4 linked regions of the Caenorhabditis elegans genome follow. The protein of the gene in region 1 interacts with the protein of each later gene in a pairwise test. Each region holds a gene or a part of one and is shown on either strand. Other genes may lie near its edges.

Region 1 (9,128 bases):
TTTCAAATACAAAATAATATATTTCACAACTCTTCGGCAAAAAGTTCAACGTTGCCCTAAATAATGTTAAATATTTCAGTTGCAAGTAACACCACGAAGAAGGAGAGCCACATCGTGTCGACCGCAGTGCGTATGTTCAAAATTGAAAACGAGTTATGCATGAAAAATGAATAATGAGCTCGAATTTCACAATTATCAAAACGGATCAACAAGCCCCGCCCACTTTTCTTTCGGTTTTCTTCACGTTTTTCTCTACGCCAATGTTTCTTTCTTATAGGTAAGTATTTGAAGTTTTGATCTGAATTCTTTAGAGAAATAAATTTAAAAAATGTTATGCAAAAAATTAAATAACGTCTGTGAACTTAAATTATTGAAAATGAGTTGTAATGAAATTTTTTTCAAAAAATTTTAAAGGAAAAATTGAGTAAAAATTACGAGTCTTCTTCCCAATGCATTGGAAAATAATATTTTTTCAGAAAATTAATTTTTGAACAATCTAGTGTACGCTAATAGCGTTTAATAATCTTTTTAAAAAATTAAATTGCTTTTGAGGTGTAGTATTGTGGGAATTTTTCTTTAAAATACCCAAACTAGTCTGAATTTCCAAAAAGTAAAAAAACAAAAACAAAAAAAAATTTACTCGATTTTCAAATTATGATTAAAAAAAAAAATATCTTGAAACTTCCTCGAAAAATAAGAACTGCAAGACCAATCAGCGAATCGCCCCGCCCACTTTTGCACTAATGAAATTAGAAGTGGGCGTGGCGTTTCCTATTGGAGGAAATTCATTCCCAATTTTTAGAGTTAGGTATTTTTCATTTGTACTGATTTTCTTCTGGATATTTTAAAAGCGAACTTTCCATTTACTCTACACCACCTTAAAAATGTAGAACTTCATAGCTACAGTAACCTTACAGTAACCCAAACATTTTACAGGTGCAGACATTGCTTGGCTTCATCTCCATCTGGTGTCTTCCATTCTTAAAGCCACAAAAAAGTGTTTTCTTCAAATTTTAAATTTAAATAGTTGTAAAATCGCCTAGTAGTTTTGTAACTTTTCCATATTTTTAAAAAAATTTCTTCTAGTCAATTACCTCAAATAGGTTAACTCAAACCTGTAAAAAGTGAACTGATTCTGACCAAAATATTCCCCCAAAAAATTGAATTTTTTGCGACATTTTGCATATTTATTGTCTAAGTCGAAGATTGTCGATTTTGATTTTTCAAATTTGAAAAAAAAATCGATCGATAATCAACATTTCCGTTTTATTTACATCATCAAAGCTCAAAAAATATAATATATTCATTTCATACCTGTTGGCGCCTGACCTTTCCCGGAAAATTTAAAGTTTTTATTATAATAATAGGCATAATTTCTTCCCTCAAATTACAAAATAATGTCTTTTTTTGCATAATTTTTTCCTCTTTCTCAACATTTTTCATGAATTTTTTTTCTGAAAATTTGTACATCGTATCAATGTATTTTTGTGCAAAAAAAAACTACCAACTACCCCTTTCGTTTCCAACCCACCCACAATTTGATCAAAGTTTGTCTTTTTTTTGTCTGAATTTGAAAAATAAATTGAAAATTCATATTGCAGGCGGTGTATTTTACATGAGATCGGGCGATAAAAATGATATTGGGATGACTTGGAACAAAAATTGAAAGAAACAAATTAAATAAATAACAAAACAATATAACATGTCCCGTTTTCATCGCATAGATAGTCTATGTTATGAAATAGGGAGACTTCTAGATTTGTTTCAACTTGGAAACATTTAACTAATCGTCGTTTTCTTCGGCTTCAGAAGGCACGTAGTCCTCATCAACTTCTTCAACTTTTTCCTGAACTTTCTTGACTTCAACCTGCAAAACGCTATTTTGAAGCATGGAAATATTAATTCAATGATTCTAAATTATATATCACAGACAATTTAAAAATTACAGAATTAGAAAAATAAACTACACAACTAGAATTCGAAAGAATTTCCAAAAAAAAAATCCAGTCGGTTTTGGAAAATTGTTTTAGTCGACTTCCAAAATTTTGAGTGACAAAAACTGAGCAATTGTCACTTTTTGATTTCCACTTTTTTTTGAAACATTTTACTATTATATTTGGTAATTTTGGCACCATAGACGTAGTTTTTTTAAACCTACGTTGTGCGATTTCTGATGAAAAACAAAGGAGATCGATCCACATTCGAAGACGGCTCGGAGCACATTATCAGCCACCTGAAAATTAAAATATTTAAAAATAAAGATAATAAATACAAACTTTTCTAGCTGATTTCTGAGAATGAAACCAATTCGATAAATCACTTGCACAGTCCGCATTGGTTGGTGGATCAACACTTTCAACTCCTTGAATACATCTTTTACATTTTAATCTGAAAGAAATTTATACAATTGTACATTATAATGCATAACATTATTATAACTATCAGAAGAAAAATTCACCAAAAATAAAATCGGTTTTATAAAAAATATTATTTTCATTCTGATACTTACTTTTCATGTGTATCCGATGCCACTGTTGATTCCAACTTGAAGAGTTCTCGAAGTTGCTCGGAACTAAAATGACGAGCTACGTCTTCACCCGCATCAACCTGAAATTTTTAAGATAACTATTAAATACCCAGATACTGATAATAATAACCACATAATAATCTGCAATTTTCACTCTAAAATTAAGTTAGTTACCGCGTCTCGACACGACCAATTTTTCAATTAAAAATGGCGAGCGCCTTTAAAGAGTACCGTGGTTCTAGGTTTTTTTTCAGAATTTTCAGCAAATTAAGATACATGTAATACAGTATTTGAAAAGGCGAAAAAGAAATAGCAAAAAATTAAAAAAAAGTTTCACGATAACGAGGAATTGAGAACTACAGTACTCCTGAAAGGCGCACACTCATTTGCATTTGAGAAAAGTCGAAGCGGGGAACCGAATTTTTTGACAAAATCGCAAAATTTAACATTTTAGTTCTAGTAGTCTTTAGAACATTTTTAGATTATATGAACAAGAGGAAATCTTACCACACACGATGACAATGCTTTTTTATGTGTCTGACGTTGAAACATTTTCTCTTCAATTGATCCAGTTGCTAAAAGTCTATAGATGAAACACATTTTCTTCTGTCCATCTCTCCAAACTCTCGCCATTGCTTGATCGTCATTCGCTGGATTCCAATCCGGATCAAACATAACTAATCGATTGGCTCCAATAAGATTTAGACCACATCCACCAGCTTTCGAAGAAAGAAGGAAACAGAAGATAGTGCTGGCTGGATCATTGAATGTATCGACAATCTTGGAACGTTGTTTGATTGACATTGAACCATCAAGGCGCACGAAATCATAGCCACGAAGTTTGCACAGCTGAAAAGTGAAGAAGTTTCAAAGTTTAAGTGACCACGTTATAAGTCGGTCTAGATTTTAAAGGTGGTGAATTTGCTTCAAAAAATCCAAAATAGTCATACATTCCAAAAAACCCACAAAAGAAAGCAAACAAATCGCGAAAAAAAAAACAAATCGACATTTTAAATTCCTTGTTTTTTTGGAAAGTGGGCTTCTCATTTTGAAGGAAATTCAAACAGAACATTTAGCCGAACATGGAAAATTGATTTTTTAAAGTTGACTTTTTTTTTCGTTTTCTCCGTTGTGAATTTTCTGAATTTGAGACTATTTATGATTTTTTGAAGCGAACTCCACATTTAAGTCGGTCTAGATTTTTATCATAAATCATTTTTTTTTTGGAAATTCGCTTACCTCCATAAATTGATCAATTGTCTGTGTGTAGTTTGATACGAGAACAAACTTGTCATCAGTTGTTTTGCGAGTGACTGCGAGAATATAATCGAGAACTTTCATTTTTCCAGAAAACGATGGATCAAATGATTTCGGGTTAAATGATTCAGGGAATATGGATAGACATTCTGAAAATTATTTTCAGAAGTTTGTGAAAAACGGTGTCGGTTTTTCGATTTTTCACTAAAATCGTAAATCGAAACCTTTTTTTTGTTTTTCCGATATTAAAAATTTTTTTGAATTTTCGAAAAATATCTTAAAATTTTGGTTTTTTCTGAAGAATATTATACGTTTTCTTTTTTTTTTCATCAGCATAAACAAAGCTTTACGAAACATTGAAATTTATAGTTAAATTTTGAACTTTTTTTTCCGATTTTAAATGCTCCGATTTTTTCTTGATTTTGAATACATTTTTATAAATCTGAAATTCTAAACTCACTGTTTCTGAACCTATTATCAGGTTTTTGAAACTCATCATAAACCAAATATGGATGATTGCAAAGCTTTTTGAGATGAGTGATAAACGAAAGAGCAGATGCGGTGGCACCCTAAAAACAATTTATTTGTATTTTTTGAATTTTCAAACAAAATACCTTGTCCTTTTCGACAATGCGGTTTTGTTTTTCACATTCGATAAGTTTATTGTAGAGTGTCTCTTGAAGTGTTGAGTTTTTACAGCAGATGATGTGCTCATATTTAACCTGAAATTAAATAATTTTATTTAGAAATCAGAAACTTTCATATCATACCGGAAGATATTTTGTTAAAAGAGCTGATGTTCTTCGAATAATGCATTTCTCTACAAGTGAAATCATTTCCTTCGTTTTCTCTTCACCTTTCTTCTGATCTTCTGAACTTGCGTCGGCGTCGCGACCTCTAGAAAAGATCACGGATTAAAAAAATTGGGAATAAAAATAACTAACTTTAGAATAGCATTCTCGAACTTCTTCCTGAACTCACTTGCAGTACCCAAAAGTCCGGGATTCACGAAATTGACCAAACTGAAGTTAATTAAAAATAATTGAATATTTTGAACAAATAGTACCTAAAATACTCTAACAAGTCATTTTGAATAGGTGTACCCGAAATCAGGACTCTTCGAGCACATTTGAGACCACTCAACGCCTGATACGTCAGATTCTCGCTGTTTTTGAGTCGATGTCCCTGAAAAGCTCGTTTTAAATAGAGTCAAAACAATACAGTATCTACCTCGTCACAAATAACGATTCCGACATCTCCAGAATGAAGAATATTCGCATAAAGACGGAATGTTTCATATGAAATAATGAGAACAGGGATGGCACAACGCATTTTTGAATCCGCCATAAATGAATCTGAAGTTGGAAAATTAACTTAATTTCAGGGGTTTATAACATTTTCTTCAAGATTTCAAGTTTATTCACTCACTGAGACAAGCAATAATCTGTTCTCGTTTTCCACTGTCCACTGGCATCGCATTCAGCCGTGTTCCCAACCACTTTTTGATTTCTTTATCCCAATTTTTCACCAAACTACTTGGACAAACGATAATACTCTTCGAAACTGTTGGACACGCATCGGGACTTTGTCGTAGAAGTGTCCAAAGTAGAGAAATGCATTGAAGTGTCTTTCCAAGACCCATTTCATCAGCCATAATACATCCATGAAATTCGGGAATATTAATACCAGTCACACAATCCCACATGAATTTAACACCATCTCTTTGATGCGGACGCAGGATTTTTCCAACAACCGGATCGGCTACCACGTGCACCTGAAAAATTTGATAAAATGGACATTCATATTTTTGCAATATTTGAGTCGTTTTTTTTATTCATGTTTTTTTTTCGATTCTCGCAGCTAAAATTCTCACCTTTCGATCCTTATCTTCCTTGAGTTGTGCGTGTTCACTAAGATGTTCAGGAGCATAAAGAATCAATGCACCTTCATGATATGGATCAAATAGAGCACATTTTCGACGGTTTCCACCAAGACCTAGGCTTCGACCAGATACTGAAAACTCGTTTAAAATAAACATTTTTACATGTTTTCTTACACATATATCCCTCCATCGGAATTGAAAACTTTCTCGACAACAACTTCGCAATCATAGCATCGTGATCTGATGATTCGGAAGCCATACGTCTAGAGAATACATCGATATTCACAAAACGTAATGGACTTGCTTCTTCTACAGATACAGGTGGTTCTATGGCAGGCAGTGCCTTCTTTCGTCGTCGAAGACCTTGTTTTGAAGGAGAAACTGACGTAGAAAAAGGGGAAATGAAGGTTTTGTGTATCTGAAAAACATTAAAAATTACAATTACAATTAAGTTCCGAATTGTATTTCATTGCAACTAAAAATATTAATACATTTTTCGGTTCCTCCGTTCGTCCTGAATATCCTAGACTTTTCCGTTTTTGTGTTGGAGCAGTAGAGCTTGTGGAAGGTCTGAAAATAATATACCGCATTTCCTCTATTAGTCTTGCATGCAAGACTAATTTTCAATAGACCCGTAGGGGTGCAAGACTAATAGGGACTGCAAGACTATTAGAGGCTACAAGACTAATTTTCGAAGATCCAATAGCTTTGTTAAATTGGCCATTTATCGTCAAAATTTTGACTTGAAACAGTCTAAATCATGCAAAATACATGCTTTTCTATTGTTTTATCAATTACTTGAACAGTTTAAAATTTAATTTAGCTAAAAAATGGCGAAAATTTTGAAGTTTTGACAAAATACTGCTGGCCTGGCAAGAATAGGGGTGCATGACTATTACCGTATTTCCTCTATTAGTCTTGCATGCAAGACTAATAGAGGGAATACGGTATGTGTTAAAATTTGAATTTTTTATAAAAGCTCACAAATTTTCCGGTGTAACTTCTCGTTTCCTTTTTGGCAGTTCAACTGGGATATTAACATCTTTTCCATGACTATCTTCTAAATTTTCGAACGTTTTTTTTGGCATTCCTGAAAACTAAGAAAATCTTTAATTTCGCAGAACAACTGAATAAACAAGTAGAATTTACAGAAATTCAACAAAATTTTTAAAATGCTCTTTTTATTCAAAAAGAACGGCGCCGCGCCATCTTGAACGAAAACAAAGTTTCGAAGAAGACGAAACACGGACACAGGGCGGTGTCAGCTATTAATTTTCAATTTAACAATTATTTTACAACATAGATTTGTTGTGAAACATTTTTTTGCTTTTGAATCAATTATAATCTTTTTAAAATTTTGAGTCATAGCGAGTCACTGCTTTTTCATTCCATGAATCTGCGGTGTCTGCTTTTGAAATTTCAGTTTGAGGTACGGTTGAATTTTTTGTGTGCATTAACACAAAAGTGTTTGCGTACTTTTGCCACTTTTTTCATTTCTTGATTCGTTTTGTTTATCGGCGCGCGATGAGTCATTTTTGCCGTAATTTCCTTGAAATTCCAGTTTTATTTATTGATTTTTCACAGCTTCATATTATTTTTTCCATTTTAGTTTGCCGAACAGCGAAACAAAAAGCAAACGATGTTCTCGCATGTTGTCGATTAAAGCTTTGGATTCCAACATAAATTTCACTTTTATTTTGTTTATATTGTGAAAATCGATACTTAAATAAACAATTCAAAGCAACTTTGATATAATTTAGAATATTTGCAGTGCAAATGGCATCCGGCGCGTCGGCAACTCAGCGGATCCCTTCAAAACGGCAAACGCTGGACGAGGCATATGCCCCGCCGGCCAACTTCCTTGAAATTGAGGTTTGAATAAAAATCAATGAATTAGATCAAGATAACTTGCAGGTTATCAATCCTATCACTCATGGTGTTGGAAAAATGCGCTACACGGATTACGAAATCAGAATGAGAGTAAGTATAGATTAACACTGACCGCATAATAAAATCGTTGTTTCAGTCGAATCTCCCCGTTTTCAAGCAGAAAGAATCAAGCGTGCGTCGCCGATACAGTGATTTCGAATGGGTTCGTGCTGAACTAGAGCGAGATAGCAAGATTGTGGTTCCAACGTTGCCAGGAAAATCATTCAAACGGCAACTGCCATTCCGATCCGATGATGGAATTTTTGAAGAGGAATTCATTGAAAATAGGCGCAAAGCTCTCGAGTTATTCATCAATAAGTACGTAAAACTGTTCAACTATACGGACATCAAAATGAACTCAGAAAATTTTCACATTTCTAAAAGTTTTAATAATATGTTCTTGCAGGGTTGCTGGACATCCACTTGCTCAAAACGAACGCTCTCTCCATATTTTCCTCCAGGAGCCAACTATTGACAAAAACTACGTGCCTGGCAAAATTCGTACCGCTTAAATTTTAAAATGTTTCTAAATTCTCCGCTCACGAGAAAAATCTCAAAATACCCAGAGTTATAGTTTTAACGCTGTCTGTTTCAATAAACAGAAGGAAACTTTTAAAAAATGATAATGTTTTCTTATCATATTTTTACATAACAAAAAATGAGTAACGCTTTCTGATCTTTTGAGATATTTAGTTTTCAAAAAGTGAGTTTTTAGAAGCTTTTTTCCAATTTAATCTCGGCCCATCAAAATATTGTTTCCATCCCTCCACCAAAATGCGGTATTTTTCGAAATTGTGTACTTTGTCCCCATCACCACTTCTTTCCCATTGATTTCCATTTTCTGGCTCCTGTTTATTTCATATTTATTTTTACATTTTTGTGTATAGTTTCCCAATTTCCCAATTGATTGCACTATTTTTATTGCATGAACCCCTTTTATTTGAACAAATATGAAAAATAAGTCTTCCGTTCCTTGATTTCGTTTCTTTGGATTTTAAAGTGGTAAATTGGCAGTTGTGTGCATATCGCAAATATCTTGAGTGTATCATTAAAACGAGCATATCTTTAAGATAGACAATTTGCAGGGTTTTCTGAAAAATGTTCCTTGAGAAGATAAATCAAAAAACCGGCGAACGAGAATGGGTTGTGGCTGAAGAGGATTATGATATGGCTCAGGAACTTGCCAGGTTTTCAACTTTAAAAAAATATTCCGCATAGAAATAAAATTTAATAAACAATACTTCTCGCATTTTCTTGCTTTAAAACGTTAATTTTCAGAAGTCGATTTGGAGATATGATTCTGGATTTTGATAGAAATGACAAGTTCCTCGCAGGATTAAAAACTACGATTGCTGAGAAAAAACATGAAAATACAGATGGGAAAGTTCATGTTTTAGATATTGGTTAGCTGTTAAGTTTTCAACTTATTCGGTTTTTAAAGTTTACTATTTACAGGTACTGGAACTGGACTTCTTTCACTAATGGCTGCTCGAGAAGGAGCTGATAAAGTGACTGCATTGGAAGTTTTCAAAC
Region 2 (5,666 bases), 4.9 Mb from region 1:
TTTCATAAGCATCGGCACATTGAGAATATCAGATACAAGCTAAAAACATTGAGTCTCATTTTTTAGTGTGAATTATTTCTGAAAACTGACGGTAGCAAGTGGAAGGGCAGCATATGGTACTCCAACAACATAATCGAATTTGAGGTTTGAGGCGACAATTTTCTCACACATAGCTTGAGCAGCCATTCGGAGCACACGAGGAGAGCTCATTATTCTGCGAAGATCTATGTAGATTGGAGTCATCTGGCCAGATTTGAGGTAGAACTCCCCAGTGCGAAAACATTCCATTTGATAGAGATTCTCGAAAAAATCAGTTTCCTGGATTGGTGAAGCGGCCTGGACTTTCATGACGACTGGATCCTCGATTGAGTGATTTCCGTTGGCGGTAGCGGTGGCGGCGGTCATTCTGAATTTTTAACAATTTTCGAATATCAATGTGAAACAGGTTATTTTCTTTCAATAGAAAAGTGAACAAATATCACTTGGTCAGATGAACCAGGTACGTGATTTGAAGGAAGAAAAATAAATAAATAAAAATGTGATATTCATGAAACAAAACAAATCAATTCAACTTTAAGAAAACAAAAATCACTCTATAAATCCTAAAACTGTACAGAAGAATCGAGAAAACAGACAACGCAAAGTACGAAAAGATAGCCTCGTTTGATAACACTATCATAAGGAGGTGTGGCCAAAAGTGCATTGTCGGCGATCTTCGACCCGTAAATTTAAGTCGATTACGAATTTCATGTCTAGGGCCTTGGCGGAGCAATTGGGTAACTCTTCGGGATACTCTTCCACTCCTTTTCAGTACGTTTGTAGATCATCTGTCGCGTGAAATGACCCATCTTTTGATTTTCTCTCAAATCCTTGACTGCTTGACGTTCGGCAGGAGATTTGAGGATTTCTTCCAGATTGCATTCAACCTTTGGAGCCGGCAGTGTGTCCACTTGAATTAGATCGACTTGAACCTGAAAAAATATGGTTCAGATTTTTGTAATGACCAAAAAGTGACAAATTAATTTAGAAAAAGAACAAAACAACATTCGAAATGAATCTAAACAAAGAAAACTTTTAAACAATAAGACCCGATCATACATCAACATCAGATAATATATAATGAAATTTAACTAACTCACCGTGTCCAGGTCATGTGTCAAAATAGACTTTGTTTTCTGTCTAGCTTCCCGAGACATGTGCGCCTTGAAGAGGAAGAAACTGCAAAGAACAAACAATTTTTTTAAGATATATAGTTTTTAAATATTACTTTGAAGCGTAGACGGGCTCATTTGTCTGTTTGGCCAGCCGTTTATACGGTAAATCTCGATGACCCAGTGACTCAACCTTTTCAATTACTGCTCCGTGATCCAGCAAAGTGTTTCCAGCACGCGTTAAAGCTTTAACAAGATCTGCCTGAAATAAAGAATATTCTCATGATTATACACATTCTCACGCTTCATCGTGTTTTTTCTGTACCTTTGACAGAGATCGTGTGATCATGCTCACTTCATAAAACGGCATTGTTGTTCTCGCCCAGTATGAATGCTTTTTCTTCACTGAAAATATTTTCTATGCTACGAATTTGGAAATATGTCAATGAAAATCACGATAAGAAATCACAGCACAAGCTATTTTTCCAAAATAGGAAGTTGCCATTTTTCAACGACAGGCTGTGAACACAAGATTATTAAACAAAAATTTACTAGAACAATAAAATAAATGTTCAATTTTCAATTTTTCGCATTAGAAAGTTAATTTTCCGTCATTGCAATCGAAAAAAGTTAATTTTAAAGTAAAGAACCAGGAAAAATAAAGTGGAAATACGGGATGGGTCTCACCACGGCCAGTGTCGATTTACGGGGAAATTGCATGCGCCTTTAAACGATGATATTTCTTTTTTGAACGGGAAGCGGGAAATTGTCGTTTTTAAGCATTATTTATTTATTTCTTTTCATTTTTTCATTCAAATTATATTCTAGATACGTTTATGGCAGGTTTTTCCGCAATGATTAAGCGTTTCTCACTGTTATGTCGATTATTAACGTGTTAAACTGTTATGTGTTGATTTTTTATTGTGATAAATTTATTTTCGTTTTTTAGAAGAATGGCTCCAACTAACAAAGACGGAGATGTGGCGACTGTCAAAGCTGTAGATGTTCTCAAACAAAAGGCTGGAGCCCATCATTGCCTTGGAAATGTTCATGCAAACCTTCCCGTTAATAAGGTTAGCATACCTGAGCGAGAAAATTCGATTTTAAATAAACACAATTATTTAAGGTGACCGTCCATCCATTGGTTCTTCTGAGTGTTGTTGATCATTTCAATCGTGTCAGCAAAACTCAAAGCGTGAAGCGTGTTGTTGGAGTCCTTTTGGGGTCCATGAAAAAGGACAAAACTCTGGATATTGGAAACAGTTTTGCTGGTATTTTTAAAAATTTATTTGCTTACTTATAAAGTAATTTTCAGTTCCGTTTGATGAAGATGACAAGGATAAAAGTACATGGTTCCTCGACATGGACTATTTGGAGAGCATGTATGGAATGTTCTACAAGGTTGGTGAATTTTGAAATCTCGTTTTTATTTAATTTTAAACAAAAAAAATGAATTTACAGGTTGCCGCCAAGGAAAAAATCGTCGGATGGTATCATACGGGTCCAAAACTTCACAAGGTATATAAGAGGCAAAAAAGAGACGGGGACAACGCGCGTAGTGGTCTAGTGGCTAGCAGGCACACACTCTGCGCCTCCAGCCATTGGTTCGATTTCTCATTCCACTCGGGTTTGTGATGACTGCATACGGATCACTGGGCTCTGAATCTCTATGAACCGATAATATCCGTTCTGATACCCGTTTTTACGGTTTCATGATCGATGGAGCGCGAACTTGTTTAAATTTGAAATTATACTGTGCAAATAACAACAAAGCAAAAAAAAAAAAACTTAAAACAAATCAAATCAAAACTTTTGAAAAAAATCGAAAAAAATGCAGTGGATACCTGACAAAAAAAAAAGAAAAAACCGTGTCACAGTGTTGCGAAATTACGCTCCGCCTTACTTTCTGTGCCACCCTGATTTTTGCAAAATTACGGTGTTCAACTTCAACAGTTTAATTAATTATTTATTTATTAATTTTACAGAACGATATTGCTATCAACGAGCAATTGAAACGATTCTGCCCGAACCCGGTTCTTGTAATTATCGATGCTGAGCCAAAGAACATCGGATTGCCAACAGAGGCTTACATCGAAGTTCAGGAAGTTCACGATGTACGTTTCAAAATACTGTTTAATTTTTTTTCAATATATTGTTTTGTAGGATGGAACTCCACCAATCAAAACCTTCGAGCATGTGCCTTCAGATATCGGAGCCGAAGAAGCTGAGGAAGTTGGAGTCGAGCATCTTTTGAGAGATATCAAGGACCAAACTGCTGGAACTCTTTCACAGCGTATCACCGATCAACTTATGGGCTTGAGAGGACTGCAATCACAGCTTGAATCCATTGAGAAGTATCTTCATGATATTGTGCGCGGAACTCTTCCAGTCAACCATCATGTCATTTACTATGTTCAAGAAGTTCTCAATCTCCTGCCTGACGTCACTCATCCAGACTACATTGTTTCACAGAATGTGCAAACTAATGATCAGCTCATGTGTGTGTATATGGGATCTCTTGTACGATCGGTGGTCGCTTTGCACAACTTAATTGATAACAAGGTGATTTGCAAAGATTTTAAAATTTATTAAAAGCTATGATTTTTAGATCTCTCTCCAGAAGGCTGAAAAGGAGCAGGAAACTGGCGAAGCTGAGAAAAAGAAGGATGAAAAGGATAAGAAAGACAAAAAGGATGAAAAGAAGGATGAGAAAAAGGAAAAGGACAGTAAATCATCAACCCCTAATACTCCAAAGAAGTGATAAACAAACTCAGAACATTGATTGTATCCTCATGTCCACTTCTCCACCAATCTCTTTTTCTTTTACCCTATCGCATCATATACATTTAATTTATTCGGTCTTTTATTTTTCTGTGCATCAATGTAGTATTTTATCCCCGGTATTTAGATCAGTTGCCAATAATTTTTCAGAAGACAAAATCTAATAACTTTATTAGAAAAAATAACAAAGATAACATCCCCGTAAAGCAATGGTAAATATCACGAAGAAAGGCATGGCTTATTAAATTAGGAGTATCCAATGTGGATTTAAAGATCTTTTTGCTGATGCTTGATGTAAATGCCTTCGGCAACTTTCCATGCACTTCCACCAGTGATCGAGTCGGTGCCGACGACCTCCCGTTGTCCATGAATGGGGCGTCCGAATTGTTGTCCCGAGAGTGAGAGGTATGAACCAGTGACAGCGTGGCGAAGTTTGAATTGCTAAAGTGAACAATATAGGGTATTCAAAACGTATAGATAATATCGAAAAGGAATGTAACAAACCTCGGATTCCAACCACTCATCTCCGTTGCAAATCACAGTCCAATCATCTCCCGTGTCACTTTCTGCTTCGCTGCCAAAAGCGGAGACCTCCTTTAAAAAATCAAATTATTCATTTGTTTTCTCGAATTGCCAAACAAACCTGATGTTGTTTGGAGAGAGGTGCAGTGAAATGATGGGAATGCAGGAACGTGCCCGTGGTGAGGTGCTTCAGACGGATCTTGTCTCCGCATTTGATTGCATCTCCACGATTGCATTTTGCGTTCAAAGCTGAAGTAAGAGAATGTTCGGTTTTCTTTGTTCTTTTTTTTCAAAAAGCATTAATATACACAAATTATTATAGTTTAAGTTACTAGGCGTTAACTTCCAAATAACTAACCTGGGAAAATCTGCCAATGAGAATTGATGTCGTCCGAGTTTTTTACAGCAGTCACAGATTGTTGGCCGGACCCGCTTCCGTATTTTACGTCATGCGAATGTAACCTGAAACCTTTTTGTTTCAAACAAAATCTACTTTTTCGAAGGGAAAATGCTCATTTTCTCAGGAGATATTCTTTAATATTTACTGTTGGTGGCAACTATTTATTTAGTGTCATTAACTTTACCGAGTTTCTAATATTAGTGCAAACAATTTTAATAAAGTAAGCTGGCTCACGTACCTAGAGCCATCATTAGCATTTATAAACTTTAAAACGCTGTAGCACGTCACAAAGTCTTCATCGGCGTATGCAAATGAGGCGAAGAATAGAAGTGGAAAACTGAGTAGTAGTGGCAATTTCGGCATTATTTTGGTTCCCTGTAATAATATTCTGTTTTATTATTCCAAACTTTCTAGAATTTCATAGAGAATGTAGCAGAAAAGATTATAAAAAGAGAAGCTCCTGCAAAAATTAAATCAACGTCGCTTTGCACGAGATGTGCGTCAACCAACGTACACCATCGACAATGACGTCAGTAGCCGCTCTTGACGTACTTTGTTCCCAACACCTTGTGGTTCCGCAGTCAATTTTTTAGCTGTTTGGCGGCCAATTGACGCGACACCGCTTATAAAATTTATATCACGAGACCTTCTAATCTATGTTTGTTTGAAATCATAAGGGTCTTATCACTTTCCATTTTAAATTTGTTCTCTTTTGAAAACTTAAACCTTCTACTTACAGCTCAACAGAAAACACGACGCATGGGTGAGCGAGAAAGGTGGAACAGGTGATGAAGCTCAAGCGGTTATTGATA
Region 3 (6,458 bases), on another chromosome or scaffold:
TTCGGCGAGATCTTCAAAGAACTGTCCCTCGTCAATCGAAACGACTTGAACCTCATCGTTGAAGATCTGAGATTGAACTTCAGAGAGACGATGAGCCTTGACAGTCCGTCCCTGGCCAGTCATCCTGAAATGATATTCAATGCTTTACAGTTTTAGGCTTGATCTACCAACTTGCTATGAGTAGCCACGAGATCGGCATCGTAACGAGTGTCTCCTGCATACTTGACAAGAACACATGTTCTTTTTGCAATTATCTGACGATCATGAAGACGAAGAAGTTCGGTGCTGAAAATAATATTGTTATGATCACTCTAAATTTAAAAATAAACACACGTTTTGCCACTGAACATTGGCCCCAGAATAACAGTGATAGAGCCAACACGATTCGGGCATCTGGGCAAAGTGTTGAAATCTGATAGAGATGAATTGGACGAGCAGCAAGTCATCTGAAAACACAAGTTTAGAAAAACTATTGTTTAAGAAACACTCATGATTCTAAAAATATATAGCTAAATGCGGCATCACATAAACAACGCATAGAACAAGTTAACCATCTTGTTTTTACTAGATCATTGGCTAGCGCCGATTGAGACGAAAATGTATGCAGAGTGTGGAAGAACTGGGGGCCCCGGGAGAAGCAAGCATCAAAATGGCCTGCTACAGAAAAAGGATTGCAGTCAGCTTTTCCGCGTTTTGAGATGAGCGTTGCGGAACCGGTCGCCGTCTACGACCGCCTTTTGCCATTGCAGATGAATATAGAAGTTGGTGTCCGAACGGAACGAACGGAGAAAATGGAGGGACGAAGGGCGGGGAGATATAGAACAAAAATAAGTGAAATTGTTGTTCGTTCTGTATTCTTAATTTTGCATGATAAAAAATGAATAGATGATTTTAGAAGTCTGGCATTGCACAAAATATATTTCGAGCAGTGAAAGAGCAAAAGGAAAACATATAAAATGTCTCGATCTACCATACTAAAGCGGAAAATGTAGAATCAGAAAATAAATTTTTGGCTCAACACGATATACAGTTAAAAATAAACTAGTATATCATAAATAAGTGAACTTTCTTATCAGGAGCCAATTAGTCATCTCTGACGTACAAATATTAACAATAAATTTCAAAACCTAAATAAGAATAGTAAAGATCAAAAGAGGGCAAGATCATGTTGAGTAATTTGAATGAGACGATGACAACAGGCAAGGGTCACACAGCTGTTCAGCAAATGTGCTGTGACCGTCGGTATTGCATAATAAGAATCGCTTTTGAGAGCATAAGTACGGACAGTTGGGTATTTTCAGGCAATTTTCAAGGTTTTTTGTTGTTGCCGGAATTTTACAAAGCAAAAATTCCACTCCACATTTTGCGAATAGGCAAATTAGAGATAATCATCTTACCTCATTCTTGGCCGCTTCAATGTCCATTTCAGTTAGTTGGATCTGGAATTATTGCTAGGTTAACATGATGAACACGCATTTTTAAAATACAGTATTAAAGGTTTCGAAAACCTTTATAAATTAAAAAGAACATTAGCTTATCAATACTGACATAATCAGTTCAACTATACGATTCATACAAAACGACGGGTAAAACAAAAGAGAGAGAGAGAGATGCACAAACCTATATATAATACAGATACAAAAAAGGAATGTAACGGAATAGTGAAACATGAGGGGCAGGCGAAAACTTTTCATAGAGAACATAGAACGCTAGATTTAAAAACGACCCAAATAAACATGATGAATCCGTGAAAGTGTGGAGAGAAACAGAAATGTGATATATTTATCGGGATATGAATGATGAAGTTTGATAAGAAAAAGAAAAACGAACGGCTAGTCCTCGCGTGCGTCCTCAATACCATGATTCGTGATTGAGTAGGTCGCTTCGGCTTCTGGTAAATTGGGTGATTGAACCATTTTTGCGACGCGATTCTCTCCTTTTCCTTTTCGAAGGTACAATCTGAAAATATGAATAACTTAATTTTTCTTCTTTAAAAAATCCTCAAAAAGACCACATGTAATGTTTAATAAAAAAATTAAATATGTTCTCTATTTGTTCAAAATCTTCAGAAAACCTCCAACTATGTTTACCTGGTAGTAGACATGTGAGCGATGATGTGACCTCCAATGGGCTTTTTAGCATCAGCCTGGAACATCGAGGCTCCTCCGTCGACTTGTGCTACAACTTGATTGGTAATAATTACAGCGACACCATATTCATCGGCAAGCTTGGCAAGGCATTTCAGAAAAGCAGAGAGCTTCATCTGACGTTCCGCTAGATCTCCTCTTCCAGTGTATTCGTTACGGAAATGAGCAGTTGCACAGTCAACAATCACAACAGCATAACGACTCTCGGACATCATTGCTCCTATGGCACGAAAAAGTTTATTTTTTTATTTTTTGAAATTTAGATTTACCTGCTCGAATAATCAAAGCCATCAAATGTTCTGAGTTGTATGCACGTGCAACAGCGATATTCTCGAGTACATGAGCACTGTCCATATTGTATCTGCAAGAAATTACTTCGATATTCAAAAAAATGCTACAAGATCCATAATAAGGTAAATTCTCAAATGCCAAAATTCAAGCCATGTGGCGTAAACCAGTAATTGTACAAAATGAGCCATTGCGACTTGTTCTCCAAACGTTTTTATTTCAAACTTAGTGATAGAATATAGAGAAATATTTACTTTATCTGAAAAAAAAAACTTATATTTGTTGAAACAATAAGGAAAAGGCTAAAAAATTGCCTGCAAGTTGAAATTCGCCAAAAAAAGACCCGGAACATCTCTGAAAGTTCATTTACGGCAATTTCCAACTTGCAGACCATTTTTGGCCTTTTCAATTGTTCAAGCAAAAATAACAGCTATTTTCAGACTGAGAAAATATGTTACTGATTTCTCGAAATAAATTTTAATTTTTTTTTAAATTTTCAAGTCGGGAGATCAAATTATGACAAATTCAGGATTTTTAAGAATAATTCTCAATCACAAACCTCTGAGCGATAGCAATAATTCGTTCGGGTCGAAAAGTGGCATTGGTATCAATATACATACATTTTCCCTCACCACCTCCCATATCAATCGGCAATTGACACAAGACTGCCAGACTGTGGCAAAGCTGAGTTTTTCCTGTTCTATATTCTCCGTAAACCTGAAATAAATGTTTTATTGAGTACTGTTGTCAGTTTATCCGTGATAAACTCACCTCAGTGATACTGCCTGTTTCGATACCGCCACCCAACAGTCTGTCAAGTGAAGCAGATCCAGTTCTGATCTGCACCAGCTGGCTTCGCTTCACATGAACCTCGGCTCCCGTCGTGAATCCCATCTGCACGAATTTCATGGCTTCTTTCTGAAATTAAATCATTGAAATATGAGGCCGATGTCTACATGTTCACAGCTGGTCGATTTGCCGTCAAAACTGACCTTGCAGCTGATCGTTTCATTCTTTTTCGGAGCTAACCTCGAAAAATGTATCAACTTTTCTGATACTTTCAATTCAATTAATTGGATTTTGAAAAATAAAGCCACAGAATTTTTAGTTTTTTTCTTTAATTCTCGAATAAGCTGATTTTTTGATATGCTCACCATTATCTTTTCAGCTTTCTGATCACTAATTCCTTTGACATTTCGGAGTTCGCGTCTTGTAGTAAATGCCAGCGATTCGTATGTATAGTATCCAGCTTCTTTTAGTTTTGAAATATCGCCAGAACTGATTCCTGAAGACTCAAGTTTATCGATAACTGTGAAGTTTTCATCTTGCTCCATCGCATTATCCTCGATTGCTGCATTGAGCAAAGCTTGATCAGCTGCACGCTGCTCTTGATCCGATTTCTTTTGACGACTTGCTTGAGCTGACATTTTTGACTCCTGAGATAATTTTAATTAATTATTTTTAAGTTAAAACATACAATTGGAAGGAAAAGATTTATTGAATGCAAATTCAAATTATATAGCCATTTATGTGTACATAGTGAACGTTTCGCAATCCCTAAAATCGGCATTTTTAACAGTGGAGCTTTTTTTTTCAAAAATTATGCTACACATTTACCTAAACTTATTTTTAAAATGTTACCTTCATATCCCCAAGATTGTCCCATAATCAATAGCAAAAGCTTTCTCTAGAGCAACAAAAATTGAGAAAAACATGGCCTAGAGACACGTGCCAAGTCCTTCCTCGAGCCCCCGTTCGCTTGACGAAAACAAGAACTTTCATGTTTTTCACAAGTTAGAACTGCTTTTGCTGCTCTACTATTTTTGTCGTCAACTACTGATTTATAACAGGATTAAGTCCACATATTTCTAGGCGTCAAGTTGAACGAACATATTTTCGAATTTAAGAATCACAATTTATGATTTATAGGTTTTTATTAAGGGTTTTCTTAGATAGATTTTCGTTTTAGAATAGAAAACATGGAAATTTAAATGCAAGTAAAACTGGCAGTAAATACAGAATTCTCAATTTTCAAAGTAGCGCCATTTGAAATTTTTTTTTCCGCTTTTTCGATGGCGCGCACTTGCTGTACTCTTGTTCAACACCTCGCCCTCCCGTCTCGTCCACTGCCGCTCGCGTGTGTGAAAGGCACCGATAGGAACGGGCCAGGGAAAAGGAAAAAGTGTAGAAAAAGACGATGCGCAGACATACAGCAAGGAGGGTCAGTGGACGCAATGGGGAAAAGAGAAGGAAGAGGACACCCAAATGTCTACTATGTACATTGTGTCCGAACCATTTTAAAACCAAAACTGGACATTAACCTTATCTTTTGCCCTTTTGAGCTTAATTTTTATATCACTTTTCTGCCTTAAAGCATTATTTTTTAAAGTACTATTCGTTTTTCAATCACTCGAACTATTAAATCTTTAAAACATTTTTTCTTGCAAGATTCTATGATTTTTGAATACTATTACTTATTAATTTATTAATACTTAGCTTAAATTTATATAATAATTTTTTATCTTGAAAATTGTTTTTCGTTGATTGAAAATTATATTTCAAATTTAGAATTGTTCGCAATTAAAAACGGGTAAAGCATGAAATATATTTCAGAAATCGAACAAAAATCAGGCTTTTTATTTTCCGAATATCAATTTCAAGCGTTAACCGAAGCGTTGTTATTTAATGACAAAAAATTTTGTTCATTTTAGGTTTTCATTCAAGAAAAGGAAGCAAAATTTAGCATAGCTGAAGACTTTTAATTAGTTTAACTCAAAAGCTACGAGAATAATCAAAAATTTAATAAAAAACCGCGCAAATCATTAGAGGATAATTAAGTTTTAAAACTAAAATGACAAAAAATGACAAAAGAAACAATGAGAAATCAAAACATGTTTCCTCCGTAAATCGACATTGAGTACTGTAGCGATTGGTCTCGCAGCGATGTTAATTTTCTTCTGTACTCCTCTCGGATAAATTTTATTATTATTGAACATGCGTATTAAATCGTTCATTGAACGGAAAATGGAGAGAATCGCAAGAAAAAAAATTATGATGAAAGTGCAAATAATTTAGAAAGGCTATGACACAGGTGATTCGCCGTTATAAAATACTTATGGCCACCAGTATTTTAGATGCAATTTGCAAATCGCTAATCTCGCTGCGGGACCACCAACATTCTAGCAATATATTGCTAATTGCGACTTTTAGTGCAAAATATTTGCTTCATCATATTGCTGATGCCTCAACTACATTCCATAAATATTTAAAAAACCGCGAAACACATGTGTATCTACTGATAAACTACATAAAGAAGTGAAATTTGTTAATAAAATCTTTGCATGAGAATTGTAACTAACTAGGGTAATTGATTTCATTTGGGCTTAAAATTAAACTCAACACATGATGAGTGAACAATTGGGATCGAAGTTTAGATCTAGAGGTTTTCCATCTATAAGTGAGCCGGTTACTAGTGCGATCAGAAGTTGTGAATTTGAAAAAATGTTTTTGATTAATATTAATTTCTCCACCAATTAGTTTCCTTTCAAACTTTTTGTCTTTTCTTCTAATGATCCAATTCCGTATTTTAGCCTACTTTCTGAAAAGTTCAGAAAATCTTTTTGAACTCCTTCTATTTCCTGTATTATGTTTCTAAATTTTTTTGGATTTTTTTTTGAATTACTGGAATGGAGATGTTTTAATAGGTCATTTACATGGTTATGTACAAATATTTTGACCAAATTATGTATTTACTGGGCAATATCACCTCTTTCAATAGGATTCTTTCTTTGTCCTCAAACTTTTCAATTTATGAGACAGAACTGACTGATTGTAATTTTATACCCAACTATGCAAATAGTCAATTCAATCATCTTAATTTATGTGCCAGTGATTCAAAAAAAATTCCAAAAAAATTTCGAATAAATTTTCGAATTGAAAATTTTAACATTACTTTGACCAGAAAGTTTGAAATTTTTTTTTTCAAAATTTTTATTTTGAAAACGTCTTAAAATGTTACCATGT
Region 4 (8,534 bases), on another chromosome or scaffold:
TTCAAAATTTTGAAAAATGCAAAAATTATAGGTTTCGCCTTTTTTTCATCAATTCTACTGTGAAAATTTTTTAGCGGATAAATTTCAAAACTGGGATGTACCAACAATTTTAACATGAAAATTAAAAAAAAAAACATTTAAACTTGCTTCGACCATTACTAATAAAAACGTTTATTTTTAAAAATTTTTTTGATCAAATAAACCTTCGTTTTTTAGTTCTCCGGTTCTGAAACCAGGTCTTCACTTGACATTCAGTGAGTTCAATTGTTTGAGCCAACTCGCCGCGTCGGTCTTTGCAGATGTATTCATTCTTTGCAAATTCCAACTCCAAAAGTGTGACCTTAACATATTAAATTGAGTGGAAAATAATTGGAAATGTCAATTATTCTAATGTTTCACCTGCTCCGATGTGAAAGTTGTTCTTTTAGTCGGTCGATTGCTCCTTTTCGGTGGCGGTTTGATGTTCTTAATTTGTTGGGACTAAATTGGAAAATTGATTACTTTTTAAAAATTATCAAATACTTACCGAATTGGTGTCATTTGACCATGGAAAGAAGTCATATGCAAATTTGTTTGACGTCATATTCTGACAAAGGGAAGGTTAAAAAAATAATATTATTTCAAACTTACCGTTTTAGACGTCATGCTAACAACACAATGAGCAAAACAGGGGCAATGAAAGCTCAGAGCAATTGGATGTTTAATTTGAAGGAAACGACTTTATGACTTTTCAGGATGGGACATTACATGGAAAAGAGCTGTGCAATTAGCATGGAGCGTCGTTGGAAAACACGTCGTTAATTGTAGAATTGTAGCAGATCCTACCCTACCCGGTAATAAAGATTCCAGCGTCAAACAATTATATCTATTTGTTCATTGTAGGCTTCTGTTCTCTTTTCCAGCCTATCAATTTGCAGAACAAAATGCTTCTTGTGATTCATGACTCATTTCATCAAAAATTGTTGGTAGGTACCTGAAAACATGTTTCAAAAGAAGTATCAATAGCTGTTTATTGATAACATAGTGAACAGTCTGAACAGTTTCTGGGGAGAGATATTTCACGAAAACATAAATTTTTAAGGGAAAAATGGGGAGAAAATGTGTAGAAAAAATAGGAACGACACAATGCAGAGATCAACGATCATGAGATGAAAACATACAAATAGATGGACCAAAATAGCTGAAAATTTAAAAAAAAGAGGAAAAATTACATAATTGCGCAACTATTTCTGATTGAATCAATTATTGAAGACTTTTGATTTTTAATAGCCGGTGGTGCTGATTCGGTCTCCCACCACGGACGTGGACGCTCTCCTTTGACTTTGATATCAATGATGTCGTCCTCATCATCGTCCTCAGTGACCATGTTGAATGGCTCCAGAGAACGCTGAAAATCATTTTTTGTTAGCTTGTATTAGTTTTTCTAATTTATTGAGAAAGGGTCTAATGTAAAGGTTCCACCGGGCTTTTGAACTAGACATGTTTTATTTGAAATACCATAATTAGAAATTGTTAAATATGGATTTTAAGCAGGGAATTTTATAATTGAGTTTGCGATGAGTACTCGGCGTTTGCCGCCAGTTTCCTACCCAAGGCTTCGCAACTTCTTACCCAAGCCTTGCCCAAAAAATAAAAACATTTATAAGGAGTTGCCAAGGCTTGGGTAAACCTTGGGCAAGAGTTGGGCGCCTCATAAATAAAAAAAGTCGTGGACTGCCTCGTCGTCTCGAGGCGTCGCCCAAGTCTTACCCAAGTTTTGCCTATTTCTTACCCAATTTATACGTGTGTGTTGAACTTTGATCGCATTTCCTGTTGTTCCGAAGTCTTACCTGCTGAGCCATGATGGTCGCGCGAAAAGATGCACACTAATAATATATCGTACTCATATTCTGATAGATATTTTTGAGGAAGTATCAGACACATCGGATTAATACGGTATTCCCACATACCTTATTTCATTTGTTTTCAAGTGTGCTCCCTAATGATTCTAAGTACAGAATTTACAAAATTACTGTAATTCATGTTTGTTTCATGTCTTTCAATTTTATAAAAGTTTACATTTCAAAGGAACATTTTAGTCTTAGAAAAATTCAAAAGTTGATGCATTGGATTGACTGACTATTATTTGACTATTGGACTGACTAGGAGAAGAATCATCCTGAAGATAACTTTTCTTTTTATTTTTAGATAAATTATTCGGTTTATTAGACAGTCACAGGAAATAAAAGGCAAACTTTGTTCGTACATTTTTTAACAATGTTAGCCATCAGAGCAAAATATTTAGAATTTGACTTTGAAGGGACAAGTTTTCCTGTGAATTCTTTCAATTACATCGAAATTCCTCTATTTTAAATACAAATTACTCAAAAGACAAAGTGTCGATTTACGCTAAACATTGCGCATGCAGGATTTCGGAATCTTGTTTGTTCTTTACATCTGCAAACTTGGGTAAAAAGTTGGCAAGACTTGGCTAAGACTTGGGCAAAACTCGGGCGAGGGAGTTTACACTAGAATTGTTGAAGTTGGGTAAGACTTGGGCATACTCTGGGTTAGAAGTTGGCAAGAGTTGGGTAAGAAGCTGGAAAGCCCCAAACTTGGGGAAGAAGCTGCCGGGAATTGCCGAGTAAGAGCAGCAACATCGGAGCTCTGGGGATGTTCATGATGGTAAGTTACCATTGGTAACATGCAGATTTTTTTATTGGAAAAATCACCCTCGTAATTTAAAAAATATGTTTCGAGTTTCTGAAAATTGCATGCTTCTGGTGATCAAAATTCCAGATTTTGATAAAATTCAGACATCTTCCAAACTTTTTTTAAAGTCATGAAAGTTATATGAATTGGCAAATACCACCACCACACATGTCCTCGGAGCACCCACAATGCACCGCTTATTCCGAGCATATTTGCAAGCTCACCGCAAACTCAATTCTAAAATTTCGAAGTCTGAAATTTATATACAACAGAAAATCAGGTGGCACCTTCAGTCTCTTCCCTAGTTAACTCTTCAATCACCAACCTGTTGGTAGCTCAACTTGCGAATGTCGTCCACTGCAAGATGGCGACGTGGTGGTTCCGAAGCCACAGAGCGACGAACCTCGCTGAAATCGCGTGGGCGGCGATCCTCTTCATCATAACTAGCCACACGTCTGATTGGAATCTTCTTGTCGTCCGAAACAAACTCCTCGTCATCAGTCCAAACATAGTCCCGATCACTGTCGTAATCGTCATCAGTTGGTGTTCTCGACTTTGGAGTTCCCACAAAAGCATTAAGACCAGTGTACGGTTGTGTCATGGTGACATCATTGAGAACAAGATGGCTGAGGTAGTTGTTGCCGTCAGTTACATCTGCATTTTTATTTCTCAGAGTAGACGCTCCTGAAAATTCACGCATTGCTTTGAAAGCCTCGAAAAACTTGAAAAACTAAGCCTTGAAAAACTCACTACGTTTTCGAAAAGACGAACTTCTTGGGGAGGCTGTCCAACCAACGCCTGATGGAGTGTTCTCTTGCAGAGTGGCTTCTAAAAATCCAAATTAATCAAAATCTCAATATTTCTAACATACTCCGCTTCCGCTGAGATAGATTGGGAGAAGATAGCATGTTGAATACGTCTTCTTCTTCATCCTCCAAAGTAGCAACTTCTGAAAACAAATTAACAATTACCGGGTAACATATTCATAAACGTACTTCGCTTCCGTTGATTCGAAGCAATCGTGGAAGTTGTCCACTGTCCACGAAGAAAATCACTTTCCTCGAGCTTCGGAGCTGGCTTCTTTCTTGTCAACACACGACTGATGTTGCCCGTCATATCGGCAGTTATCATATTACGGAGCTTGTCTCGATTTCTCTGCCAGAATCCTTTGTCAAAGATGAGCGACTTTTGCTTGAAACTCTCTTTCCGCAGCGTATCACGAAGCTTCTTTGCGTTGTCAATAGCATCGCAAATCTCATTGTACCACTCCGTAACACCTCCGAGTGAGTAGGCTGTAAAGTCCACACCGACGTCTCCACAACGAATCTGAAATTTGAAGTTACCATTTTCGAGTCTTTAATAATAATATAACCACATACAAATATGCTCCCTCCTATATCATCAAGTTGGACAATGCAGTGACGGAGTGAGAGAATTGCAGACGGCTCGTATTTGCAGAGTGGCATCACACTGATTCTCTTGATTCCGTAAAGAAGAATATCATTGAACAGGAAGACCACGGTTTCCTGGTAGTTGGCTGATCCATTGAGCTCTCTCTGAAATTAACCAAATTAGGATTGATACTAAAATGTATATTACCTTGTACAACATTCCTTCCTTCAACAATACGCGTCCTGGCTCAAGAATGTGCCCATCCAGACCAAAATTCAGTTGGATTTGAAGGAGTCGTTCTCCATTTTCATAAGCTGTCATGCAGGATTGAATCTGATCGGAGAGCCCTTGCATACCCGACAACGCTTCTGAAAAAAGTAGCTATAAGAAAATCGTTCCAATAAATTCTTACTGTAAAGGTTTGTCATATCATCTTTCTCAGTGCTGTAATTCATCAAATTTTGAATGAGCATGATATAGCGTGGAATGCGTTGAATTGGCATGATGAGGTATGTCTGGAGTTTCTTTCCATCAACTCTGGGGTCTTCCTCAATTTTGGTCAGAGCTTTGCGGAAGTCGTTGCGAGACATCAGTTTCTGGAAAGTAAAAATAATAAGGTATCATAGATTTTATTGTTATAACTAACCGCAAAAATTTTCAGCGAATTTGGATAATGGGATGCATAACTGGTATAGAGTTTGAGGAACGGTACAAATTTGGTAAAGACCTCGGCGATCGGCTTGCACTGAAGGGATTCCAGAAGGATTTGATGAGTCTTGCAGATTGCTGATATCTCGCCGAACATGGATCGGAAGCATTTTTTTGATTTGGGGCACCACAAGTTAAGTTGTTGAATGAATATCTGGAAAAAAAGATTTTAAGAAGCTTTTAGAAGTTTTTGAGATACTTATGGCTATCAATTTAATAGATGCGTTTTATAAATCACGGTTCTCGGTAAGTCGTACCTGACAAATTTTTGTCATAGATTTTTCAGGTACCTCGGTTGCAAGTGTTCGAGCATCATTTCATGAGAATATCAAAAAGCGCAAACGCATGATTCCAAAAGCAACCGGCAATAGCAGCGAAACGCCAAAATTTTTGGTAACCGGCTACTGTCGGCTGCCAAACCGAATGTTACAAATTTCGGCAATTTTTAGGCAACCGGCATTCTGGTTTATATAATTAAATCCTGACCTCATCGACGATAGTGAGCGCTTTCACATAGGTTCTCTCGGTATCATAAATTTCTTGTAAAATCTGGATTTTCTCTGTCGGCTGATTAGCATACAGTGTACTCATGTCAAATGGCAAATAGCTGTTCATCTTATGTGTGAAATAATCAGTATTTTCATCGGGAGCCTTTTGCAAACTGCCTTGCGACGAGTCACTTTGGTACGTGTAGTAGTTGAATTCTTTGCCCGCGTTCATAGTCTGAAAAACAACAGAGTTAGATGAAAGGAAACATTTGATTTTAAATCGAAAAAAAAAGACATTGATAATGAAGAGAACTACCCGGTAAACAAGACTCTGCAAACAGAACACGGGATAAAGAGGGATAAAAATCAATAGATTGAGTAGAACGGCCGGCAGGTGTTCTCCCAAACGACCGCCACAACACCATCGCATTCAAATTCGCGGTGGCATCAGAGGAGCGCGTTTGCACACTCATCGCTATAGTGGGGGTTGGCCATGCATGTCCACATGATGCAAGGAAAAATGAGAAGAGTGAAGAAGGGGTGGGGGGGGGGGGGGCACTATGTGAGAACACGGAGGACAAGGACGTTTTTGCGCAAGACAAATGATCAAATGCCGTGCTGTATGTTGTTGGTAGATGCTACGTCATCTGGGAGTAGCAGAGTAGAAGGAAGAGATGCGTTTGTTGGGCAGTATCTAGATCAACAGGAAATGATAAATCAGTAGTGAAAATTTGGAGTCTTTAAAAACTGGAGTCAGATGATTTGATATGATAGGAAGAGCACATGGTCTCGAATTTCCCGACAATCACATGAGTGGAGTGGAAAATGGAATATTATCAGATGCTGGCGTTTCAAACAAGAGGACTGTACAAAACGTAGAAACTAGTGTGAACAAAGACCATTGTACAACAAATAAAATTGCGCGTTTTCCCGTCGTTTATAAAATAAAAAATAAGAAGCCATTAAATGAAACTACTAAATAAATATAAAATAATAAAATATATTTCTCCGTTTCGTCCTTAAGCTTGTCAAAGCTGTCTAAAAGCCCTCTCTAAACAGCATGTAAATTGAAAGAAATATACTGACATGAGATTTTCCATATTTTGTTGTGGAATAAAATGTAATTACATCAAACCACATGAGAAATAAAGTGATTTTCAGAGAAAAACACCAACAACAGCTGATGCCAAATATCAATATGTAAAATCTATTACTGAAAAATAGATAGTTCTCAGAAATTTTTAAAATACTATTTAGATTACACGTGATCAAAATAGGCAAAAAAACCAGATAATTTAAGAAAAGTCTTCATAATATTGTGGTTTTTTATAGATTTTTAGTCACCGTTTTAGGGAATCATTGAGGTTCCAGAAATTCAGTTTTTGTCAAGGATTAGAGCATTGGTGCATTTTTGGAACATAAATTTTTGAAACATAATCTTAGTAAAAAAAATTGTACAGAAGTTTTAGTCGAACATCGAGAATGTAATTAAACCAGTATGAAGATTTGTAAATAAATCTTTGAATTTTGGAAAGGCGACTCATAAACCTCAAAAAACTTCCAGCTCAGATTTTTTGTAGAAATATGTTTGTATTAAAGCAGGAAACACATTTTCAAAAGTTTTAGTCTTGGGTATTATTGGAACATATTTAAAATGCAAATTATGGAAAAAGTAAAGTGATTTTGCATGAGGCGGAAACAACCATTTCTAAGCCTTAAAAAAGGAAAAAAAAAAAGCAAAACACGATCAATTGAAATAGACCGAATTTGACAAATGAATGGAAATTTAATTTATTTCCAAAATGATAGTCTCATAGTCCACGAGGGCTTTCGAAATTAATTGAATATTTAAGTTTAGGGTACTTTTCATTTTCTACCCCGCATTTTAAAAGAACATTCAAACCATTGAATTATTCGAATTTTATGCTCACGTGAATGTTCATTTTAATACTATTTTCATTCTAAGGCTTAGAAAACAAAATTGCTAAGCATAAATTTTTAAAAGTAAATGTTCCAGAAAAATCTGGGGTAAAAAAGGAAATGTACCAAATTTAGTCCAAATAATGCCTACCGGTGAGCATGAATTCAGAAAGGGCACAGTTTTTCACCAATTCTGAATACTGTTTTGTTATCAATTTTCACTTATTTTTTTCAGGAGACCAACTTCTGCTTAAATTTCAAATTTTTTATAACTTGTAGCATTTTTCAGGAGTCCTTGCCCATCGCTTAACATTGTCGGCTAGTGCCAATGCAGTATTCCACCGTTCGACTTTATTTGTTCACAACGAAGAGATGATGCATAGTATGAGGTCAAGAATTTGTTTGCCAGGTAAATGCTCTCCTGTCTCTTCCTCTTTCTCTCCGGTCTACTCGTTTGCGTGTGCTGCGTGGCTCGTTGAATGGTCAGCTGTGATTTCAATTTATCAGTTGGCAACGCGGTCCGCCAGAGTTTCAAACGGCAAATAGATTCTTTAATCGCTGCGTGTGGCCGCCGAGTTATCTTGCTTCTTCCGGAAAGTTTAAAGTTTGATCGCTTCATTCACTAACGAAATTCTAAAATACTCAAATCTTATTTTTGCACCTGAGGAGAAAATGAATTATTTATGGCGCTTTCTTGCTAAAAATTTAACAAAATGCATTATTCTATATGTAGAATGTCATAATTTTGGTTCTTCAGATTTTCCTGCTTATGTTTACTTTCTTTTCACGTCTCGTATCTCTTACTATTTTCTCTGGGACAGTTAGATGCATTTTTTGAATATTCTGATATTTAACACCTTTTTGTTCTTTTGAAGCGTAATTTCTTATTCTTTTTTAACCTTACATTTTACTGAAAAATAATTTCAGGCAGTGCATGGCAACAGAACGTGATGGCGGTGGCTGCCTTCGGGTAGCTGTTTCAATTTTCTCAATATACTATTGGGTTTGTGCCTGAACATGTTAAGTAATTTTTTAACTTTCTTTCAGCTTTCTGCTCTCGGTCACGTGTTTCTTGGACTATGGATGCTTCTCGACCCGAAACGAAACTACATCTTGGATTTGGTACACTTTTCGGAAAATGATCCGTTATTGGTACGTGTTTTTCATAAATTTTGTAGATATTTAGAGTTTAATCTTTTTAGAGTTGATTTAGAGTTGAATAATTTCCAATTCTTGCCATAAAAATTTCCAGCCACAAAAATTTAATTTCAGCAAAATTTTAGCACTATAGTTTTTGAAAATTAGAAAATAACTTTTTACACAAAATTCCTACAA

Evidence for each region.
Region 2: the proteins of rad-54.L (region 1) and rpn-8 interact in a two-hybrid assay, tested with the Caenorhabditis elegans proteins (2 studies listed by BioGRID).
Region 3: the proteins of rad-54.L (region 1) and rad-51 interact in a two-hybrid assay, tested with the Caenorhabditis elegans proteins (3 studies listed by BioGRID).
Region 4: the proteins of rad-54.L (region 1) and tag-52 interact in a two-hybrid assay, tested with the Caenorhabditis elegans proteins (2 studies listed by BioGRID).

What each region holds. Positions count from the first base shown.
Region 1 is NC_003279.8:9,062,713-9,071,840, reverse strand, and holds rad-54.L (DNA repair and recombination protein RAD54-like), read right to left. Parts: upstream 6,763-9,128; 5' UTR 6,755-6,762; coding exon 6,651-6,754; intron 6,237-6,650; coding exon 6,158-6,236; intron 6,085-6,157; coding exon 5,841-6,084; intron 5,798-5,840; coding exon 5,658-5,797; intron 5,559-5,657; coding exon 5,213-5,558; intron 5,140-5,212; coding exon 5,015-5,139; intron 4,970-5,014; coding exon 4,851-4,969; intron 4,807-4,850; coding exon 4,729-4,806; intron 4,682-4,728; coding exon 4,555-4,681; intron 4,507-4,554; coding exon 4,399-4,506; intron 4,354-4,398; coding exon 4,245-4,353; intron 3,934-4,244; coding exon 3,767-3,933; intron 3,377-3,766; coding exon 3,035-3,376; intron 2,608-3,034; coding exon 2,510-2,607; intron 2,389-2,509; coding exon 2,277-2,388; intron 2,234-2,276; coding exon 2,159-2,233; intron 1,868-2,158; coding exon 1,784-1,867; 3' UTR 1,577-1,783; downstream 1-1,576. Other genes in the region: rsbp-1 (Abi_C domain-containing protein), read left to right, coding at 80-163; snx-3 (Sorting nexin-3), read left to right, coding at 7,443-7,538, 7,581-7,646, 7,693-7,913, 8,002-8,107; prmt-7 (Protein arginine N-methyltransferase 7), read left to right, coding at 8,694-8,782, 8,874-8,998, 9,051-9,128.
Region 2 is NC_003279.8:4,173,219-4,178,884, forward strand, and holds rpn-8 (26S proteasome non-ATPase regulatory subunit 7), read left to right. Parts: upstream 1-2,100; 5' UTR 2,101-2,104; coding exon 2,105-2,224; intron 2,225-2,277; coding exon 2,278-2,422; intron 2,423-2,466; coding exon 2,467-2,552; intron 2,553-2,612; coding exon 2,613-2,669; intron 2,670-2,778; exon of another isoform or gene 2,779-2,846; intron 2,847-3,136; coding exon 3,137-3,265; intron 3,266-3,314; coding exon 3,315-3,713; intron 3,714-3,759; coding exon 3,760-3,912; 3' UTR 3,913-4,053; downstream 4,054-5,666. Other genes in the region: R12E2.11 (Orotate phosphoribosyltransferase), read right to left, coding at 1-39, 91-405; mrps-6 (Small ribosomal subunit protein bS6m), read right to left, coding at 753-971, 1,140-1,218, 1,268-1,413, 1,477-1,521; R12E2.13 (MIR domain-containing protein), read right to left, coding at 4,200-4,373, 4,437-4,526, 4,576-4,703, 4,813-4,916, 5,093-5,217; suco-1 (SUN domain-containing protein), read left to right, coding at 5,643-5,666.
Region 3 is NC_003282.8:10,280,144-10,286,601, forward strand, and holds rad-51 (DNA repair protein RAD51 homolog), read right to left. Parts: upstream 4,102-6,458; coding exon 4,077-4,101; intron 3,993-4,076; coding exon 3,913-3,992; intron 3,872-3,912; coding exon 3,590-3,871; intron 3,354-3,589; coding exon 3,207-3,353; intron 3,153-3,206; coding exon 2,995-3,152; intron 2,509-2,994; coding exon 2,417-2,508; intron 2,368-2,416; coding exon 2,091-2,367; intron 1,960-2,090; coding exon 1,833-1,959; 3' UTR 1,491-1,832; downstream 1-1,490. Other genes in the region: thk-1 (Thymidine kinase), read right to left, coding at 1-124, 172-285, 334-446, 1,398-1,424.
Region 4 is NC_003284.9:3,673,044-3,681,577, forward strand, and holds tag-52 (Putative protein tag-52), read right to left. Parts: upstream 5,515-8,534; 5' UTR 5,512-5,514; coding exon 5,278-5,511; intron 4,946-5,277; coding exon 4,730-4,945; intron 4,680-4,729; coding exon 4,496-4,679; intron 4,452-4,495; coding exon 4,291-4,451; intron 4,248-4,290; coding exon 4,071-4,247; intron 4,018-4,070; coding exon 3,687-4,017; intron 3,641-3,686; coding exon 3,563-3,640; intron 3,520-3,562; coding exon 3,442-3,519; intron 3,376-3,441; coding exon 3,017-3,375; intron 1,388-3,016; coding exon 1,208-1,387; 3' UTR 998-1,207; downstream 1-997. Other genes in the region: Homeobox protein ceh-63, read right to left, coding at 204-340, 400-480, 527-586, 631-645; tsp-17 (Tetraspanin-17), read left to right, coding at 8,134-8,202, 8,247-8,351.